2 linked regions of the Arabidopsis thaliana genome follow. The protein of the gene in region 2 interacts with the protein of the main gene of each other region in a pairwise test. Each region holds a gene or a part of one and is shown on either strand. Other genes may lie near its edges.

What was found. The genes of interacting proteins can lie anywhere in the genome.
Region 1: the proteins of MYB0 (region 2) and GL3 interact in binary tests that used the Arabidopsis thaliana proteins (3 or more experiments, as listed by UniProt).

The regions. Positions count from the first base shown.
Region 1 is NC_003076.8:16,527,146-16,530,905, reverse strand, and holds the start of GL3 (basic helix-loop-helix (bHLH) DNA-binding superfamily protein), read right to left. Parts: upstream 1,817-3,760; 5' UTR 1,609-1,816; coding exon of another isoform or gene 1,607-1,608; 5' UTR 1,474-1,606; coding exon 1,328-1,473; intron 987-1,327; coding exon 705-986; intron 126-704; coding exon 29-125; intron 1-28. UniProt on the Arabidopsis thaliana protein: Transcription activator, when associated with MYB75/PAP1, MYB90/PAP2 or TT2. Involved in epidermal cell fate specification.
Region 2 is NC_003074.8:10,361,957-10,365,716, reverse strand, and holds the start of MYB0 (myb domain protein 0), read left to right. Parts: upstream 1-2,109; 5' UTR 2,110-2,210; coding exon 2,211-2,349; intron 2,350-2,458; coding exon 2,459-2,588; intron 2,589-3,354; coding exon 3,355-3,760. UniProt on the Arabidopsis thaliana protein: Transcription activator, when associated with BHLH2/EGL3/MYC146 or BHLH12/MYC1. Involved in epidermal cell fate specification in leaves. Together with TTG1 and GL3, promotes trichome formation and endoreplication.

The sequences.
Region 1 (3,760 bases), on a different chromosome or scaffold from region 2:
TAGCAACTACATCAATACTACAACTTACTTTTGCTAGAAGAGAACGGCTAAACACTTTACTATCCGCCGTATGAGCGTTGCACAACCATATCGGTTCACCGTTTGCAAACGTCCGTCCAGGCATTCTGCAAAAAGACAGGTTCATTTAGAAAGCAGCAATGCATTCTAAGCTTAATTTTTCCACATTTTTTCTTCCTAACATATTCATAATTATTGAAAGTTAATTAGCCGTGTTCATAAAGACCAAAATGAAACGAATTTTTTAATTAATCCGGACAGAAACAAACTTTTGTGATGATAAATAAACCGAACTAAACTCGAATCGAACACAAATATACTGCAACCAAACCGAATTAATAAAATTTATTAGATGTAGAATAGAGTTAAACATACTAATGCATATATATACACATTATTATTTAAAATTAATTATGTTTTAACTTTTTCTTTTGTAATCTGAAACCGACCAAATCCGGACATTAAATTTTGAAACCAAACTGAAACTAAAAAATTGGTTCTAGCTCATACTTTTTTCCTGCAGAACCCTGAAATCTAACAAACCTAAACTGAACCATAAAAGTCGAAATCCTTGGACCTACTAGTATTAAAAGTATATTTTGGCACGTTGTTTAAAACTGGCAAAGATCAACACGATCATGACACATAATAAATGTCAATGCTGATAGAGGAAAAGACGGAATTACCCTTCACCAATGTTGAAGACGAAAGACATACAAACCAAATAGTACCACTCGGTGTCGGCGAGATCTTCCGGTGAAAGTGCGGCGGCGGAAGCTCGTCTGGTGACTTGAGATCCGGCAGCAACGCCTGAAGAAGAAGATTCAGCGACGGAGAGAGACTCGTAAAGCTCGCTAAGCTGCTCGCTCCTCCGTAGACCAAGCTGATCAGCTTTGATCTCCGAAGCTTGAATCGTCTTCCTCGTTTTGATATCTCCATTATAGTATCCATCTCCCCATTCTAAAACTCTTTTTATATATAGAAAAACAAAAACAAATATCAAATCGAATAAAGAAAACAAACAAAACATTTTCTTGAACTAATCAAGAACTTCAAGAAGAAGAGAAAAAAAATTGAACTTTTAAAGAAGATCAAGAAACCTTATATGAGTTTATAAGAAAAAATCAATGGAATCAAGAAAAACCTAGAGAACCTTGTCTTGAGTTGTAGAACTAAACACTAGTTTTGATTTGAAGTGAACACATAAGTTTTATCTAATTTTCCAATTAAAATCAAGAAATTTACTTCATCAATATCTTTCAAAATCTCCAATATCTAGTGTTCAATGAATATGATTTAAGAAACTTACCCAGACTGAGAAGCAGAGACAGACCAAAAGATACCATAACTCCATTGAATGTTTCGAACTGAAACTGCGAGGTGTTTCTTCAGATTCTCTGGCACAGTTGTTCTGTTTTGTCCGGTAGCCATTGTTTCTTCATCCCTATATCCCATGAAACCACACACAGGGAAAAAGAAAAGAAAAGAAAAAAATCAAACTTTTTGTCCTGATTTAGAAAGAAATAAGATACTATGTTAAATTTATAGCCTAAAAAAGAAAGAAAAAGGGAAACTTGTAACTCTTTACATTTTTTTTGAAGTATCAGAGAGGATACAAACTAGATGTTAAGGTTTTTGTGTTTGTCATTTGATGAAACAGTTGCCGTTTTCGCCGGAACAAACAGAGAAATGTTTGAGAGTTTTTTTTTTCTTTGGTCACTCCATACTTTTTTTTTATTAATGTTGTTTTGAATATTAATTTTGTTGTTGTTTGAGCTTGAACTCGAAAGACTAGAAGAACTGTCTACGAATCCTTTTTTTCTTTGAATATGACGATATCATCTTTGTTGTGTACAGAACAAAACACAAGACATTTATGACGAAAATAAAAAGTACTTATAATTTTTTAATGATTTATGAGAAAAAAAAAGGATACAAAAGTAGAGGAAAAAAGCAAAACGCTGATGTTGATTGATTGTTCCTCTTTTTATCTTGAAGTTGATTGATTAGTTCCTCATTTGGGAAGAACAACCTTTTTTTAAGACAATGAACTACAATGTCCATTGTTGTGGTCTTGTCTTCAATAAATTCTCTATTCAGTCTCTTTGTGGTTCTAGAGATCTCTTTTTTTTGGGAATATTGAATCATTGTGTGTCTCTTCCAACACTGATTTTAAAGTTAAAATGTTATCACGTCAAGGCTGAACTTTTCACCCATCTATTCTTGAAAAAAAATGTTTCCCTCACTTAATATCCCCACTGATACCAAAAAAAAAAAATTTGTTTCCTTGACTATTAGATCTTTGAAGCAATGTTGACTAGAATACCATTAGCATGTGATCCAAGTCCAATCTAACCAGCATCGTATGATTTCTTTCATTTTGTATAATCTAATCAGTCTTATTACTATTTGAGTGATCGAAATATATTATTGTCGGTGAGTAACATCGTTTTATGAATTTTCCAAAAGTACACAAAACGACCAAAAGTATAATGTCTCAAATCAGAGTATATGATTAACATATATAATAATAGTAAAATCATCAGCTTTTTACTTGGTGTCAAAACGAAGCTAATCGCTATGAATCTAAATTATAGTCACAAACACAATAATAGATAAATTGAGGAGGAAAGAGATAATATAAGAACAGTCTTTACTAAAATTGGGAAACACAAAGAAAGACACGAAATTAATGTTTGGCCTCGAGGAGTTCCCCCAATACGTACAGACACAATCTTAATTTTTGCAATCACATCTTTAAAATGAATAAAAATGTTATGGACATTTTCGACGTTGATTCTCCCTATAGTCATATACTTACAATATTATTATATTTCAAAATTCTCTTATACTATTAAACCTATATTTTCGAAGTATTTATGCAACTATTTAAAATATAACTTTAAATAAAACCCTGCTAAATGGACCATTAGTACTTATTATTTTCCTTTTCTGACATCTAGAAAAGAGAGAGACGTTGACGTCAGAAAACATTAAAATATATATACACGTTCGGTCCCCTACAAGATCAAAGTCTAAACATTCGTAGTGCTGTTGATCGGAGGTTTCGGTAAATTAATCGGATGTGTTGATGTTTGAGGGTAATATTTAGGAAATTTGGTATAGCTTTCGATACAACAATATAAAATTTGTCTGATCCAAACTTATGTAACACTAATATATATTGTTATTTTCAATCAGAATACTAACTCAAGTTAAATGGGGAATTCAACTCCTAATCCGATGAAGCCTTGCTGGTTTGGATCAAGACGTCATCTTCACTTCAACAACTCCATCTCCTGACTCCTATCTTTCGCTATGGTTTGCTAATTTCCAACAAAATTAGACCACATCTTTACTGATCTTACTAGAACACTCGTCTCTATATGTTTATCTTATTTGATTGTATCTGAGCATTAAGGCTCCTCTGTAAGACCTCTTTCATATATATAAACGGAACTAATTAAAAAAAGAAGTAATATATATATATATATAGGGTATATACTATGTTGTTATTTTCTTGACATAGACGGCACAGAAGAAATAATGTTGTAAACACGGCCATTAAAATCATAAACTTTTGGGCATGTACGAGAAGATGTGAGAGATTCAATGCTATGTATAGGACAATGGAAGCATGACACTATTTTGCTATTAACTGGTTTGTATCCTCTCTTCTATGTTAAAAAACTGTATGTTTTCCCATATACTAAATGACATATGGATATAGCTGAGAAAATAA
Region 2 (3,760 bases):
GAGATCATTTACTCGAGCTAAGTTATGACTTGGATGGTTGTGTTGCAGGTGAAAGGTAGCTTTGCAAAAAAAAAAAAAGTTTGAGGTTATGTCTGCATGTTTCCCTGTATACAAACTCAACCATTTGTATTTTATTTTTTGGGTGCAAAAACTATAATTTACGTAGTTTTTGAACACTTTCATAACATCAAATATTACCCACGTGATAAGTGAAAACGAACCGAATATGTAATGATCAGCGAAGGTCCCTACGTGGAATTTAATATTTGTGTCATTCTTTTTAAGCAACACCAACAAGACACTGACATGGGTTGGTATTTATAAATTTGCAACGTAAAGTATATGTAGTAAGATTGTATCTTCTATGGTTGGGACTGTATCTAAACCAAACCGGTTTAATAGGGTATATATTTTTTTTGTCTTTGTCTTTGAATTTGTGGGGTCATAAATCACGGGCATCTTCATTTGGAAATGTATTCATAGTAATGTATATAAACTACTTTCGAGCCGACTTGGTAATGATTACGAGAATCCTCTGCTTTTGGAGTAAATTTCTAATTTAATATGTACGTGTATCTAGATATATATACGACGACATGTCGTTACCCAAATGCTTCGTTAGAGGATAGCTTGTTGAGAACTTGACTATGCCAATCATATATGTTTGTTTGGCTTTATGTAGCCCCAATATTAACAACTTAATACTAAAAAACCTAATAACAAAAACATTGAGTAAAAAACTACAGTACTTATAAGTAAAAAGAATAATGATAGTAGCTACTTCATATACATAATTTACATTTCTTAGAAATAATTGTTTGTACTTTCTCGAGTTAGTCAAAAATTAAAGTAGTTTTTTTATAACCGAAATACTATTTAGCTAGTGGAAACTATATTTTTCTGTTTTTGTGCAAGTAAATAGTATGCATATTTATAAGGGTATATGTATAAGCTAGCTCGAAAACCAAAGTAGAAGAGAGTAGGAAGGTGGTAACTGGTAAGTAGGGAGACAAGTGAAGAGCAGAGCTTCTATTCCTCCAATTATTTAGTTAAATAGTTGTGAGACATATTCCTTACATATTCAGTTTCACTATTTTATTCTCTACCACTTAACTTGTTAGTTGGAACTAGGTTATATGGTATTCAACATATACTCATACTTTGTACGTAGACGCTTTCTTGAGTAAATAAATTAAACCTTTCATCAAAATATATATATATATATATATATGTCTTTGTATATTAACAGTATGCACACACATATATATAATTTAGGTCCATAATTTTTCTACCCCGAAAATTAGAGGAGATTAATTTGGTCTCTTATCTACTATAATGTTCGAACTTGTGACTTGAAAATTCTCATTTTGACTAACTAATCAGTATACAGGCTAAACTATCTGATTAGATTTAAGAAATTAAATCGATATGATATGTAAATGAACACATAAATTTTGTGGTCTATTTTTAAAACTCAATTAAAGAGGGTAACCTCATGAACTTTTAAAAAGTATGTCGAAAAGTTGACTATAATTTGAGAAACAAGACATATGGAAAGGAGAACCATTTCATTGATCCATCAAAGTTTCTTTTTTCATGTTTTATCTTCTGCAAAAAAACTGTTTTAGGGTGAACTCTGTGGTACTTTTAAATAGGTTGTTCCGATCCCACTTTGTTGTATAAATAACTAAAAATAATATGTAGTTCCAATGAAAAAGATCATTATCAAATATTAGTAGAATGTAAGTGTATACAGTGCATAAACAAACTGGTTAACGTGTCAAATAAATTACAAATCAGTTAAATCATACAATATAGAACATTTCGCAGTAATCTGCCCCATATTTAGTAGATTTGTTTTTGTAAATTTCATGTCGCAAGTATAGTATTTAGATATTGCCAGAGGAGAAAAAACAATTTTTTTATAAATTTTTTGGCCATAGATACAATTAAACCAACTGCCAAATTTTAGCTTTTAATACGTAACGTAGGGTAACAAAGGATAACGCTATAGTCGCTATCTATACATTATTAGGTACATATTTATGCTTATAGCCATGATTACACAAAGATACGTATTGATGTGAGTGTATATATAAGCACGTGTCACGAAAACCCATCATAAGTTCACTACTCATAATCTCTTTCTCTCTCTCACACACACACACAGACACACACAAACATAGAAGGAATCAGAGAATAAAAAAAGAATGAGAATAAGGAGAAGAGATGAAAAAGAGAATCAAGAATACAAGAAAGGTTTATGGACAGTTGAAGAAGACAACATCCTTATGGACTATGTTCTTAATCATGGCACTGGCCAATGGAACCGCATCGTCAGAAAAACTGGTACTCTTTCTCTCTCTCGCGCGTTTTGTGATTATATATATTAACTTTAGTCTCTAGCTAGTTCATATATAAATATATCTCAGTTAGACTAAATTTGATTCGTTGATAGGGCTAAAGAGATGTGGGAAAAGTTGTAGACTGAGATGGATGAATTATTTGAGCCCTAATGTGAACAAAGGCAATTTCACTGAACAAGAAGAAGACCTCATTATTCGTCTCCACAAGCTCCTCGGCAATAGGTACATAACTTTATGTTACTACAATATTATACACCATGTCTTTTTATTTAATCGATCGTTAACTGATTTTTTCTTTCGTCAAATATTTGAATTGTTGTTTTAAACAAAGATTTGGCCGGTTAAGTTGATTTTTAAAAATCTAATTGAAGGATTTTCTTACTTGCAAATGTAAAAATAAAGAGAGTTGACAAGTAAAGACTGTTTTATTTCAATTAAACTATGTGTTCGTGGATTATTTCACATTTCAAAAGGTGTTTTCTTCACAAAATAAATCTTAAAAATAATCCTTTGAACTTAAAATATGTTCAAAATTTTCAAGTTGATATATTTTTCTGAAGAAGAAAAGAGTTGCACAAGATAAAAGTTTGTCTTCTCTTCAATGAAACTCAACCGATGTGTTGGTGGGTTATTTCAATTTTAAAAGGTGTTTCCTCCAAAAACAAATCTTTAAGAGTATCTTTTGAACTTAAAAATGTTCGAACATTTCAAGTGGATATATTTAATGAATAATAGACACTTTTTCATAAGTGTATTAGTCGTGCAAACAGTCACTTCTCAAAATTCATTATAGAGTTAGAAACGTTTTCCACAATTGAAAAATAAAAATAAAAAATCCTCTCTATGTATATAAATATGCATTCATTTATGAATCACATACAGATGTCGAAATAATAAAAAGAATCATAAACATATGGTATGTTATAATTTATGTTATATGGTATGAATTTAATAAAAATGTCCTATAATATTTTTTCCCCAAATTCAGATGGTCTTTGATAGCTAAAAGAGTACCGGGAAGAACAGATAACCAAGTCAAGAACTACTGGAACACTCATCTCAGCAAAAAACTCGTCGGAGATTACTCCTCCGCCGTCAAAACCACCGGAGAAGACGACGACTCTCCACCGTCATTGTTCATCACTGCCGCCACACCTTCTTCTTGTCATCATCAACAAGAAAATATCTACGAGAATATAGCCAAGAGCTTTAACGGCGTCGTATCAGCTTCGTACGAGGATAAACCAAAACAAGAACTGGCTCAAAAAGATGTCCTAATGGCAACTACTAATGATCCAAGTCACTATTATGGCAATAACGCTTTATGGGTTCATGACGACGATTTTGAGCTTAGTTCACTCGTAATGATGAATTTTGCTTCTGGTGATGTTGAG